Linked DNA regions of Stegostoma tigrinum. The protein of the gene in region 1 purifies or fractionates together with the protein of each later gene. This does not show direct contact. Links are inferred from orthologs where the notes say so. Each region holds a gene or a part of one and is shown in the gene's direction. Other genes may lie near its edges.

Region 1 (7,054 bases):
TCATCTCTTTAATGAGGCCTATGGTCCTCAGGGACTATTGCAACTTTACTGATTAGACACTTTACGGAAATCCACGTAAATAAAGCCAAAGGACATTCTCTTGTCCATTATTCCAGTCACCAAAACATTCATTGTGGGATAGCAGTGATGTGGTAGTCGTAATATCTACTGCATTAGTAACCTGGAAGCCCAGGCTAATGTTCTGTGGGCATGAATTAAATCCTACCGTCTGGAATTCTGAAATTTGAAAAAAACCGGCCTAATTGTTGATTCGTGTAAAAACCAGTCTGGTTCACTAATGCCCTTTAGGGAAGGAAGTCTGCCACCCTTACCTGGTTTGGCCTGTAGGTGACTCCAGACCCACAGCAATTAGGTTGACTTTTAATTGTCATCTGGGCTATAAATATTGGCTGACGAATCTGTGCCCCACAAACCATGAACAATTTTTTTTAAAGGATAAGTCGTTTATGAAAGAACTTCATGGAGAGTCATACACACAACATCCATAGCAACACCCCCATCTGCTACTTCAGTCACCAATATATTCAGGCTATGTAAGGCATGACCATTGTAAATAGATCACAACTTTTGGAGTAACAAGGTGTAGGGCTGGATGAACACAGTGGACCGAGCAGCATCAGAGGAGCAGGAAGGCTGACGTTTCAGGCCTAGATGCTTCTTCTGAAAAATGAAGAACGGTCTAGGCCCGAAACATCAGCCTTTCCTGCTCCTCTGATGCTGCTCGGCCCGCCGTGTTTATCCAGCTCTACACCTTGTTATCGCAGATTCTCCAGCGTCTGCAGTTCCAACTATCTCTGAAACAACTTTTGGAGTGTTGCTCCTTCATCGGGTGAAGTGACTTCAGCTCTGACAGCTTGTGATTTCAAACAAATCTGTTGGACTATAACCTGGTATGACTTCTGATTTTGTGGATCCCAGTCTAACACTGGCATGTCCACATCATTGTAAATAGATGTTAGCTCTCTGATCAATTGGACATTCTCAAAATGTTGCATCTCTCTATCCTTAAAAGTAGCCTTTAGTCATTTCACAAGAGCAGTTGATAGAACAACTCGTCTATAGTTTCCTTTGCATTCCTTAAGTACTGCAGTGATATTTGTGTTTTTTTTCAATTTAAAGGAACAGTTTCCACTCAGGAGAACTTTGCAATATCTGTAATAATAACACTGTGTTTGTCTATAAATCGGCTATCCAGGCTATAGACTCTAGTGTGATCAGAGATAATGGGAACTGCAGATGCTGGAGAATCTGATGAAGGGTCAACAATGTCTTATTAGCTGAAACGTCAGCTTTTGTGCTCCTGAGATGCTGCTTGGCCTGCTGTGTTCATCCAGCTTCACACTTGGTTATCTTATTATAGACTCTAGTGTGTCTATTTCCTCAAATATTTTACTCTTATGTTTCTTACTTCTCCCTTTTAATCAATTACTTTACATCTTTCAGTCTTCCCTTTCCATGTAGAGCCTAAAGCTCAAACATTTTTTAAATTAATTTTTCTTTTGTGGGATGTGGACATCACTGGCTGTGCCCAGCATATATTGCCTGACCCTAGTTGCCCTTGAGAAGGTGGTGGTGAGCTGCCTTTTTGAACTGCTGCAGTCCTCCTGCAGTGGGTTGACCCACAAAGCTCTTAGGGAGGGAATTCCAGGATTTTGACCCAACAACGGTGAAGGAACGGCAATAAATTTCCAATTCAGGATGGTGTGTGGCGTGGAGGGAAACCTGAAGATGGTGGTGTTCCCAAAGATCTGCTGCCCTTGTCCTTCTAGATGGAAGTGGTCGTGGGTTTGGAAGGTGCTGTCTGAGGATCTTGGTGAATTTCTGCAGTGCATCCTGTAGATAGCACACACTGCTGCTACTGAGCATCGGTGGTGGAAGGAGTGGATGCTTGTGGATGTGGTCCAATCAAGCGGGTTGCTTTGTCCTGGATGGTGTCAAGATTCTTGAGTGTTGTTGGGGCTGCACTCATCCAGGCAAGTGGGGAGTATTCCATTACACTCCTGACTTGTGCCTTGTAGATTGTGGACAGGCTTTGATGGGGTCAGAATGTGAGTTACTCGCCACAGTATTCCCAGTCTCTGACCTGCTCTTGTAGCCACTGTTTTTATGTGGCAATTGCAGTTGAATATTTGTTTAACGAAAACCTCCAGGATGTTAACAGTGGAGGTTTCACTGATGGTAACACCATTGAATGTCAGTGGGCAATGGTTAGATTGTCTCTTATTGGAGATGGTCAGTGCCTGGCATTTGTTTGGCATGAATGTTACTTGCCACTTGTCAGCCCAAGCGTGGATATTGTCCAGAGACCTTGTTGTATTTGGACATGGACTGCTTCAGTATCTGATGAGTCATGAATAGTGCTGAATATTGTGCAATTATCAGTGACCATTCCTACTTCTGATCTTATGTTGGAGGGCAGGTCATTGATGAAGCAGCTGAAGATGGTTGGGCCTAGGACACTACCCTGAGGAACTCCTGCAGAGATGTCCTGGAGCTGAGATGATTGACCTCCCACAACCACGACCATCTTCCTGTGCGTCAGGTATGACTCCAATGAGCGGAGAGTTTGCCCGCTGATACCCATTGATTCCAGTTTTGCAAGGCTCCATGATGACACACTTGGTCGAATGCAGCCTTGATGTCAAGGGCTGTCACTCTCACCTCACTGACTCTTACTGTACTTACACTTGGTTTTGGACTATTTTGCAAATTACTGCTTTCCTTAAAAACTCTCTGTTCACACCATACATAGTTTGAACAACCGGTCTATTTACCTTTTCTGCTCGGAACCTGAACCCCTATCCCATCTTATCCAGTTGGATTGGAGCTTCTTCCAATGGTACAGTTCCCATCCATTCCTGTTTTGTTGGCAGTGCCCTATGAAAATGAATCCCTCTGTCCCACACTCCATCAGGCACATGCTCAGACCCCTACATCATTTTGCACATAGAATCATAACTGATAGGAGCAGAAATAGCCATTCAGCCTATTGAGTCTCCCAAACCATTCATGCCTGATCCAATGACAGGCTTGACTTCACTTTCCTGTGATGTATCTATCTAATAGAGCCTTGAATATATAAAAAAAAACAGTCTCACTATGATCTGGGCAAGAGAGTTTAAAAGCTAAATTGCCTTCTGAGAGAAAAAAAAATTCCTCCTCATTTCTGGCTTAAATGGAATATTGTTTTGAAACTGTGTCCACTCGTTTTAGAAGCCCCCATCATGACAGGTAGCATTCCCAGCGGTTACCCGGACAGGTGAGCCTCCAAATCTTGCAGGTTTCCATAGTATTACTTCCTATTCTTCTAAACACCAGAGTGTTAACCCAACCTTTTCAATCTTTCCTCAGAAGACAACCTCTTCATCCTAGGAAGCAAGGGATATTTCCCTGAACTTTTGCAAATGCAAGTATATTCTTTGATAAGAATGGAAACCAAAAGATTTCAAGATACAAGGGGGGCAGATGGGAGTAGATGGAGAAGTATCTTGGGAACCAGGTCTATAAATGAGGCTCAAACGTTTTAGGAATGAAATCAAGAAATACATTGAACACACTACATTGGCGATATCGTTGTGGAACTCCCTACAATAAATGCAAGGTTAATTTGTATTTCTCTCTCAGTCATATTTGTCAGTGATATTTGTAGTTATCATTATCTCTCAATCAGGACCTGTCTACATTTTATTTATCTGTGTGAATCTGTCCAGATTTATATTTATCTTTCTCCCTCTGAGTTATTTATATCTCTTAGGCAGGACCAGACTACCTTGTATTTATCTCTATAACTCAGCCAGGGACAGTTTAACTTGTAGTCACCTCTATGTCTCAGTCAGGTAATCTCTATGTTTATTTAACCCTTATCACTGAGTCATGATCTGTCCATCTTGTGTTTATCTCTATCTATCAGTCAGGACCTGTAAGAGTCAATGTTTATGTATACCTCCCAGTCAGGACCTCGCTCCCAGAATTCACCGTCGACGTCATGGCTGCGCAGGCGTCAGTTCCGGCTGGGCCTGCCGCGAAGATGGCGGCCGCCAGCCCCGATCCGCCGCCGTTAAACGGCCCGGAGGAGCTGATGGAGCCGCCTGGTGAGGAGTCTGAGGGCCTCAGTGTCTCAGAGGAGGTGAGACTGCGATCAGCGGGACACATGGGCGGGGGTTTGGAGGGAGGCTGGGACTTCCGAGTGGGATCGGGTCAATCCCAAACACTGCAGCCGCGGGACTTTCAAACCAGGGACTGACAGAGAAAGAGAGATGAGGGTCAGAGTGTAATAATATCATCAATAACTAAATAAATAACAGTCTGGTGCTGAGGCAATAGGCCTGACTGAGGCACGTCTGTCACTGTGTAACACTGGGGTACAGTACCAGTGGGGACAGGTCTGTCACTGTGTAACACTGGGGTACAGTACTGGTAAGGACAGGTCTGTCACTGTATAACACTGGGGTACAGTACTGGTAAGGACAGGTCTGTCACTGTATAACACTGGGGTACAGTACTGGTGGGGACAGGTCTGTCACTGTGTAACACTAGGGTACAGTACTGGTGGGGACAGGTCTGTCACTGTGTAACACTGGGGTACAGTACTGGTAAGGACAGGTCTGTCACTGTATAACACTGGGGTACAGTACTGGTAAGGACAGGTCTGTCACTGTATAACACTGGGGTACAGTACTGGTAAGGACAGGTCTGTCACTGTGTAACACTAGGGTACAGTACTGGTGGGGACAGGTCTGTCACTGTGTAACACTGGGGTACAGTACTGGTAAGGACAGGTCTGTCACTGTATAACACTGGGGTACAGTACTGGTAAGGACAGGTCTGTCACTATAACACTGGGGTACAGTACTGGTAAGGACAGGTCTGTCACTGTATAACACTGGGGTACAGTACTGGTAAGGACAGGTCTGTCACTGTATAACACTGGGGTACAGTACCGGTGGGGACAGGTCTGTCACTGTATAACACTGGGGTACAGTACAGGTGGGGACAGGTTTGTCACTGTATAACACTGGGGTACAGTACCGGTGGGGACAGGTTTGTCAATGTGTAACACTGGGGTACAGTACTGGTGGGGACAGGTCTGCCACTGTATAACACTGGGGTACAGTACCGGTGGGGACAGGTCTGTCACTGTGTAACACTAGGGTACAGTACTGGTGGGGACAGGTCTGTCACTGTATAACACTGGGGTACAGTACCGGTGGGGACAGGTCTGTCACTGTATCACACTGGGGTACAGTACTGGTGGGGACAGGTCTGTCACTGTATAACACTGGGGTACAGTACTGGTAAGGACAGGTCTGTCACTGTATAACACTGGGGTACAGTACCGGTGGGGACAGGTCTGTCACTGTATAACACTGGGGTACAGTACAGGTGGGGACAGGTTTGTCACTGTATAACACTGGGGTACAGTACCGGTGGGGACAGGTCTGTCAATGTGTAACACTGGGGTACAGTACTGGTGGGGACAGGTCTGCCACTGTATAACACGGGTCCAGTATGGGTGGGGACAGGAGATGTCACTGTGTGACACTGGGGTACAGTACTGGTGGGGACAGGTCTGTCACTGTATAACACTGGGGTACAGTACTGGTGGAGACAGGTCTGTCACTGTATAACACTGGGGTACAGTACTGGTGGAGACAGGTCTGTCAATGTATAACACTGGGGTACAGTACTGGTGGGGACAGGTCTGCCACTGTATAACACGGGTCCAGTATGGGTGGGGACAGGAGATGTCACTGTGTGACACTGGGGTACAGTACTGGTGGGGACAGGTCTGTTATTGTATAACACTGGGGTACGGTACCGGTGGGGACAGGTCTGTCACTGTATAACACTGGGGTTCAGTACTGGTGGGGACAGGTCTGTCGCTGTGTAACACAGGGGTTCAGTACTGGTGGGGACAGGTCTGCCACGTATAACACTGGGGTACTGTACTGGTGGGCGCAGGTTTGTCACTGTGTAACACCGGGGTAGAGTACCGGTGGGGCAGGTCTGTCACTGTATAACACTGGGGTACAGCACTGGTGGGTCAGATCTGTTACTGTATAACACTGGGGAACGGTACGGGTGGGGGGCGATCTGTCACTGTATAACACTGGGGTACAGTATGGGTGGGGACAGGTCTGTCACTGTATAACATGGGTACAGTATGGGTGGGGACAGGTCTGTCACTGTACAACACTGGGGTACAGCACAGGTGGGGACAGGTCTGCCCCTGCATGACACTGGGTGGGACAGGTGTGTCACTGTATAACACTGGGGTACAGTGCAGGTGGGGACAGGTCTGTTATTGTGTAACACTGGGACACGGTACCGGTGGGGACAGGTCTGTCACTCTATAACAATGGGGTACGGTACTGGTGGGGACAGATCTGTCACTGTATGACACTGGGGTACACTACAGGTGGGGCCAGGTCAGTCACTGTATAATACTTGGGTAGCGTACCGGTGGGGACATGTCTGCCACTCTGTGACACTGTGGTACTTTACTCAGACTGTAGTAAGGGAATGGAACGCTTTGCCTGCAACGGTAATAGATTTGCCAACTTTAGTTACATTTAAGTCGTCATTGGATAAGCATATGGATGTTCATGGAATAGTGTAGGTTAGATGGGCTTGAGATCGATATGACAGGTCAGCACAACATCGAGGGCTGAACGGCCTGTGCTGTGCTGTAACGTTGTATATCTATATATCTGTATGTTTCTACAGTACTGGTGGGCACAGGTTTCTCACTGTGTAATACTGGGTTTCAGTACTGGTGGGGACAGGTCTGTCACTGTTTAACACAGGGATACAGTGCGGGTGTGGACAGGTCTGCCACTGTATACCACTGGGGTACAGAACCGGTGCAGATGGAGCTGTCGCTGTATAACACTGCGGTATAGTACAGGTGAGCAAAGGTCTGTCACTGTAGAACACTAGAGTACAGTTCAGGTCGGGACAGGTCTGTCGCTGTATAACACGGGTCCAGTATGGGTGGGTACAGGTCTGTCACTGTATAACACAAGGGTACAGT
Region 2 (7,853 bases), on another chromosome or scaffold:
AAGGCCATTAAAAAACAGTTCACTTCCATAAATTGAACTCTGGATGCCAAGTTGGATAGCCTTCCTTTGGGATGCTGCTTCCAGTTGCAACTATAAACTAGCAGAGAATAACTTACTTATACCCCAAGGGGTGAAGCTCACCATTCCTAGTCTGTGTTCCAACACTCTCCCAGAGGCATGAGCTAAGAGTTTACTTCCCCATTCCTAAGCTTTGAAGTCCATTAGCCAACAAAGGATTCACAATAAACCCAGCTTCCATAAATCACAAAGATTTTCAGGTATGTGGAAAAACCCACTTAAGATTACCCTTTAACAGTTTGGGCCACTCCCTTTAAAACTGTACTTTTTAGTTTCCTACGAGGATATATAAGCTCATACTTGCATGTGTTATTTGGCAAAATGAACCTCAGGACAGTTTTCACACAAATGTATGGAATAGGCTTGAGTGAGTTCTTCATCTGCAACCATCTTATGACATTGTATTCTGGTGAAACTGTGCATAGAGTAGTGGGTGGGTACACACTCACAATACTGTTGTAGGTAATTCCTGATTTGGGGCCTGCCAGATAGTCATGGGAAGATGCCAGTCATAGACCATGTACTTCCATATACCTATCAGTGCTCAATGCACCAGCGGTGCTTATGTATCTTGATTTTTGCAAGCTTCTCATTATCATCAAAGTCCATAATGAAACTGGATATTCTGTTACTGCTCTTGATCTATAGCTGACGTCATCCCAACTGCTGGCGTTCTGAATCACTACTCAGCACAGAGACCCCAAAAGGCCAAGATTTGCAATGAGCAAAAATACCAACTAAGGTGCAATTTCTCCCTATTTTTCTTTATTTCTGTTAAATGGGGGAGTCTATTTTATTCTAAAAATTCTGCCTCACATATACTTTCTTCTGCAATGATCTCACAGAATATGAGTTCTCTGATTGGTGCTGCGAATCTGGTCCAGTCAGAGAGTCCTGGCTGACAGTTAGTTGGGTGAATGTCAGAGATACTGACTCTCTAGTATCTGACTCTGAATAAAGCAGCACTAAAGTCATGGACTGTTCATGTGCAAATGAAGGGTGGCTTGGCGACCAGATACCAACCTCTGTGTAGCTACTTCACTTTCTAAAATAAGAAAAAGCGAAAGGAAATAGGATTGTAAAAAGATGGAAATTAATGGAACATTACCAAAATTATATCTGAAAAATCACATGGCAAATTTTAGAGTCAAAAATTCAAAGATTTATGAGTCTAGTTTAGAAGATCAATCTTTGATATGTTCTTGAGATGGATTGGCTTGATCAAAATGTAAATGAACTGCCTCTGTCTTGACATTTGCCTGTGATTCAGTAATCACAACTGGAAAGATAAATTTCCTACACCTTATGTATGACTGTCAAATTTAAATGTTTCAGGGTTGTAGCTTCATCCCAAAGAATCTGTTGCAAATGTACTGAACCTTTCTTTGTGAAGCTTGTGGGCAGTGATATATTTGTAGGTAACTGCTTCTTCTTTAAATGACTGGTTGCTGTGATAGAGTCGTAGGTTGTTCGTAGTTTAAAATCAGAAAAAATAATTGCTGAGGTAATTGCTTTCACTTGCCAGGAGTTAAAAATGCCTGCTTGCTTAAATGTTATGGACAATTGGCAGCTCACAAGATAGATACTGATGAGGATGGCTGTACTGTCCATCCAGCAAGAAAAAAAAATCCTCTCTATCACAGCACCCAATCATATCTTCAGATTCCAGAGATTTTGCTTACATTATACTCCAACACCTTTCGCTCACAAACTAAAGTACAATTAATCATCCTTGTGTAAAGAACTGCAATTGGCAAGATGCACATGTTCCTCCTTGTTCTACTGTCCGGGTTTAGTTCATACAAATGATTCTGTTCACTGTCTTATATCTGTCCATAGTATCCAATCTTAATTAAGGCTCCATTCATAACTACTAGTTGGAATGTAATGTGAATAAGTGTGAAGCTATTCACTTTGGAAGAAAAACAGAAAGAAAGAGTATTTGTTTTAAAAGGTAAGGGGTTGGAAAGTTTTGATGTCCAAAGGGACCTGCTGTACTTGTTCATGAGTTATTGAAAGCAGGTGTAGCCAGCAACTGTATCTATGGTAATATTTAAGCAATATTTAGGTATTCACTCACGTTGCAATAGCCTTCGTGGTTTTGGACCAAATGCTGGAAAACGGGATTGTTGACCAGTGTGGACATGATGGGATGAATGGCCTCCTTCTGATCTGTAAACAACTATGAAAATATGAGTTAATTAGGAAAGCAAACGGTATGACAGCCTTAATCACAAGAAGACTTGAACACAGGAGAAAAAGATGTTGCTACAATTGTGTACAACATTGGTGGGACTGAGTCTGGGATATTGCATGCAGTTTATGTTCTCCTTATTTAAGGAGGGACGTATTTGCTACAGACAGAATGCAGAGGATATTCACCAGACTAATCCTTAGGATGTGGGATTCTTTTTTTAAGAGACAATGAGGAAGCTGGTCTTGTATCCCATAGAATATCAAAGAATGAGAGGTGTTCTTACTAAAACTCAGAAAATTCTTACAGGGTAGATATAAGAGGGAAGTTTCCTCTGGCTGGTGAGTCTAGACCATGTGGCAAAGTTACAGAATAATAATCAATTAGGACTGCAATGCGAAAGAAGTTCTTAGGAATTCTTTTCCTCAGAGGGTTGTGGAAATTCATTCTTTGAGCATATTCAAGTTAGAAATCAATACATTTCTGGAGACTACCAACATCAAAGGATATGAAGGTAGTGTGAGAACGTGGCGCTGAGGTAGATGATTAGCCATGATCTAATTGAATGGTGGATTAGGGTTAGTGTTAGGGTAAAAACAAACTCAGTGGGCTAATAGTCTACTCCTGCTCCTATGTTCCTAAGAAAGGAAAGGACAGGAAAAGAGGTCAAAGATGAAAGAACAAGGTTAAGATGTAGAGGACATATTAGCACTACTTAGCCAACTCCTGTGGATTGATTCAGTTAATGTACACAACTTCCTGTTTTAGCCGATTTTGTTTTTGTAGCGCTGAGTGCCACATATCTGTGCCTCATGATTGAAAATACCTAAGTTTGATATGACTTATTGTGAAAAGAAAGGGTTACATCATTAAATTTTTACAGGTGATTTTACTTCTTAAAGCAAGTTGATCTTCACAAAGAGGTGACAAAGACTGTCAGTTGGCTTGTCTAGCTAATTTTTTAAAAAGATCATGGTTCATCCATGACTGCATCTGACTATCTCTTGAATGATTTCAGATGTTTGGCTTTTTGACCCTACTCAAGAAATGATGCCGAGTATTGATCACTCTGCATGTAGAAATACCTTCTGATGTCAATCCCGAAGATCCCTCTTATTAGTTTATATTGTATCTCCAAGTCACACAATCATAGCTTATGTTAAAGGCTCAGTCTTATCTTTTGTTTTCCGCTTTTTATTTTATGTTCACATATCTCAATTCAGTCCTCAATAGTATGAGTAACTCTGCTTAGCTCAACTTGTTATGGATGGATGAGTTACTGATATGTTATCATTAAAGGGACAGAAAGATTAAAATTCTAAGCAGGTTTGGCTTGCCTATCTGATTTTCAGCTAAACAAATTAGAAGAAAACTAAGGTGTAAAATAAAATTAAAATTGCATGGGACATTAAGCAAAGGTATTTCAAAAGTTGAATGACAGATGAGAGATGTGAAAAGTCATTCTTGTCTCAGTGGGTACATTCTCACCTGAGTTGTGGGGATGAAATCTGGCTCTAGAGACTTGAGCACATTACCTTCACCGACACACTAGATGTTGCACTGAGATAGTACCAAGGGTGTTGGACATACCACCTTAATTCTGTAATGTTAAACTAATGCTAGCTCCCGCAGCATTATTGAAAAAGGAGTGGGGCCGTTCTCTTTGTTTTCTGGCCAATATTTATCCTTCAAGCTACATCACCAGAACAGATTATTTAACCATTGCTATTTTGCAAGATGATGCTGTACACCACTTGGCCTTTGTGTTTTTCACACTGTAGTATCAAATCCTGCAGAGAGTCTTATAGCTGAGATGACTGAGTTCTATCAACCGCAACCATTTTCCTTTGCATAAAACATGTCACCAGTCAGCGCAGCGGTTCCCTCTTGTTTCTAATTGACTCTAACTTTGTTGGGACTCCTAAATATCACACTTTGTCAACTGCTGCCTTAATGCCAGGGTCTTACCTCACCTCTGGAGTTCAGATCCAGTGTGGATGAGTAAAATGCATAAAAACGTTTTTGAACAAGTATTATTTTTCACAGGTTAAGAAATAATATGCTAGGTATAGAAGAGAAGAAAGATAGTCAGGCTGAAGGATTTCGAACACAGTCAGGTTGAAGATTGAGAAAACGTTCAAGTTGAATGATGAGAATACAAAAGCTGACGTTTCGTTCATCCAGCCTCACATTTTACATCTTGGATTCTCCAGCATCTGCAGTTCCCATTATCACTGATGAGAATACAGTCAGGGTGGGGAATTTAGAGAACAGTCAAGTTGAAAGATTGAAAATACAGTCAGATTAAATGTGTGAGAACACAATCGAGGTGAAAGATTTTGAATACAATCAGGGTAAAAGATTGCCAGGGTGAAGGATTGAGAGGACAGTCAGTTTGAAGGATTGAGAACACAATCAGATTGTAGTCCACCGTCAAGTTGAAGAAGGGTCTCTTGAACTGAAAACTCTGATTTCTCTCCACAGAAACCGCCAGACCCGCTGAGTTTTTCTGGCAGTCTGTATTTTTGAAGCATCGAGAACACAGTCAGAGTGAAAGATTGAGAAGAGTCAGTATGAAAGACTGAGTCCAGTCTGTTAGACTGAGAGGACGGAGCACATACATGAGGCAACATAAAAAACACACTTCCAGCCTGAGACCGGTTGCGACTGCGCGGATGGAGCCGCGCGGCTCGCCGTAGGGGCGCGGGGCATTGTGGCCTCGACCAAGATGGCGTCCTCCGTTCGGGCGGAATGAGGGGCCGCCGACCGGGATTTCGAGGCGGCCGTACCGGCACCGGTACCTCCTTGTCCGAATAGACTGCGTCTCGCTGTCAGCTTTCACCACCCCTTTTCCCCCCCTCACTTCCCCCTCCACTTGCTCTTTCCATCACCCCCCCCTTCTCCTGAGGTGGAGGTGGTTGAGGGGGGGGGGGAAGGGGGAGAGGTGTCAGACTCTGGTTGTACTGAGTGGAGCCGGGCCGCAGCATGGCTGGAGCCAGCCTCCTGGAGGACCTGCTGGAGGAGGAGCAGGGCGACATGACCGACTGGAACCTCCCGGTGGCTTTCGTAAAGAAGCGGCACTCGGAGAAAATCGAGGGATCCAAGGCGGTCACCCAGAGCTGGCGCATGAAAGACCGGGTAAATTCCCCCTTCTCTCTGTCTCCCTGACCTGCCTGGAGGTTACATTCAAACGCCCTCGCTCGCTACACCTTCCCTGGGGCTGCCTTCGTCCATCCTCATCCCATTCCATTTAACAAAAAAGTTTCTGTGCAGCTCGCAATAAAACTTCCCATTCCTCTCCGCATGGGTTTGCTTTCAGTGAGCAAAAGGAAACACGAGCGTTATGGTTTTCAAAAGTTTATTTACTCCATTGCCCGAAATTGCCACAACTTTTTGCCATTAAACTCTACCATATAAAATGCTGCTTTAACTCTAAACGCAAACCTTTGTATTTTGCACAATCGTTACAGCATTTCGTCTTGCTTTGTTAAATATGGATTATGCCTGATCTTTGAACAGGAGGCGTAATTAAATTCCAAAGAACCCATGTGGAAGCATAAGTACAGTTTTGTAGAATTTATCACCAGCGACACATTTGTCAGGAAATAACCTTTTAAGCAATGCTTCGAATTCACTTCACGTTTTTAAACGAAGAGTAAAGTACATTTCCAGCATGTAACTCTTGAGTCAAGTACTTGGTATTTAAAACAATTTTTAAAATGGTTTTTGACACTGTGGTTGCTGAATCTACATATTTCTCATGGCTATCAGTGTTTTAAACAAGATTCTGGTAGTTTTAGGCAAAAGTATTACTTTAACATCCCTGACCAACAATGTAATTGATAAGTTTGCAAACCTTGGAGAGTAAAGTTAGATGATTCTAAATGCAGATTAATTGGAGGTGTCATACTGTAAAAGTCTTAGATGTTATTAAATTTTGTTTGGAAACTTCATTATTTGATGCTGGAATTAAATAATGGATATATGCCTTTAAACTAGATTGGCAAAAGGGTGGGATCCTCAATAGGGAATCAAGTTGAGGCTGGGAAGAGATAGGGGAGTCAGAAATAGCACGTTCAAGAGACAGGTCTGGCTGGAACAGGACAGAGCGAGGGTTGCCTGATGGATTAGTTTGTAACTGTTTCAATGCAAGAGGGCTGACAGATAAGGCCGATGAACTTGATGTGGATAGGTATGTGGAGCTGGGATACTATAGCCATTAAGAAACATGGCTGAGGGAGGGACAGGACTGGCGGCTTAATGTGCCAGGGTGTAGGTGCTTTTGGAAAGTGGGGAGGGGGTGTTTCACAGCAGTAGTCAGATGAAATAACTGAGGGATCATCTAGTGAGGCTTTGGAGCTAAGAAATAAGGAGATGGTGACATTAATGGGGTTGTACTATAGGCCCCCCCAAATAGTTGATTGGGAATTAGGAAGAAATATGCAAGGAGACTGGGGTGACTTGCAGGAACAGTAGGGTCATCGTAGTGGGGGATTTTAATTTTCCTAATGTAGATTGGGACTGCCGTAGTATTAAGGATTTAGATGGGGTGCACTCAGGAAAGTTTCCTCAAGTAGTATGTAGAGGGCCCTACTTGGAAGGGCAGAACTCGACCAACTGTTGTGAAATAGGGCAGGGCAGGGCAGGTGACTGAAGTGACAGTGGGAGAGCACTTTGGGACCAGTGTCCATAATTCTGTCAATTTTAAAATAGCTATGGAGAAGGACAAAACTGGTCCACAGGGTCAAGTTCAAAATTGGGGCAAGGCGAGTTTTGATGGAATTATGCAGGAGCTTGCAGGAGTTGATTGGAGTAGTTTGTTGCAGGTGAAGGGACCTCTGGCAAGTGGGAGGCCTTTAAAAGCGTGATAGCTAGAGTTCAAGGTCTGTGTGTTCCTGTGAGGGTAAAGGGCATGGTTTGGCAAGAGTAGGGAATCCTGGATGACAAGAGATATTTAGGCTTTGACCAGAAAAAAGGAGGCATGGCTCAGGAATGAGCAGCAAGGATCAAGGGAATCCCTAGAGGTAGATAGGGGATACAGAGTTTACTGAAGGAAATGAGGATGGTGAAAAGGAAGATGAGGTAGCTTTGGCTGAGAAGATTAAGGTGAATCCGAAGAGATTCTTTAAGTACATTAAAGGAAAATACAATAACTAGAGAGAGAATATGATCCCTCAAAGACCAAAGGTATGTGTGGAACTGCAGTAGATGGATGAGGTCCTCAACATTTCTCCACTGTGTTTACTGTGGAGAAAGACATGAAGATTTGGGGCAGTTGAACTGGGGACCATTGTAAATGGTAGGGTCTTAAGGAGTGTAACAGAGTGTCCTTGGAGTTCAGGTGCATCATTCTCTGAAAGTGGAGTCACAGGTAGACAGGGCAGTGAAGAAGGCTTTTGGGACATTGGCCTTCATCAATCAGGGCATTAAGTATAGAAATTGGAAAGTTATGTTGCAGTTGGAGTATTGTGTTCAGTTTTGATAACCTTGATTTAGGAACGGTGTTATTCAACTGGAAGGAGTGCAGAAGAAATTTATAAGTATGTTGCCAGGACTCAAGGCATTGAGTTATAGAAAGAGG

Evidence for each region.
Region 2: the proteins of braf (region 1) and rptor purify together in Homo sapiens (affinity purification with mass spectrometry; 3 studies listed by BioGRID and IntAct, with this or other methods). This does not show direct contact. The link is inferred for Stegostoma tigrinum from reciprocal best matches to the Homo sapiens genes BRAF and RPTOR.

What each region holds. Positions count from the first base shown.
Region 1 is NC_081371.1:2,748,957-2,756,010, reverse strand, and holds the start of braf (serine/threonine-protein kinase B-raf), read left to right. Parts: upstream 1-4,037; 5' UTR 4,038-4,048; coding exon 4,049-4,147; intron 4,148-7,054. UniProt on the Homo sapiens protein: Protein kinase involved in the transduction of mitogenic signals from the cell membrane to the nucleus. Phosphorylates MAP2K1, and thereby activates the MAP kinase signal transduction pathway. Phosphorylates PFKFB2.
Region 2 is NC_081375.1:14,204,258-14,212,110, reverse strand, and holds the start of rptor (regulatory-associated protein of mTOR), read left to right. Parts: upstream 1-4,847; 5' UTR 4,848-5,257; coding exon 5,258-5,410; intron 5,411-7,853. UniProt on the Homo sapiens protein: Component of the mechanistic target of rapamycin complex 1 (mTORC1), an evolutionarily conserved central nutrient sensor that stimulates anabolic reactions and macromolecule biosynthesis to promote cellular biomass generation and growth.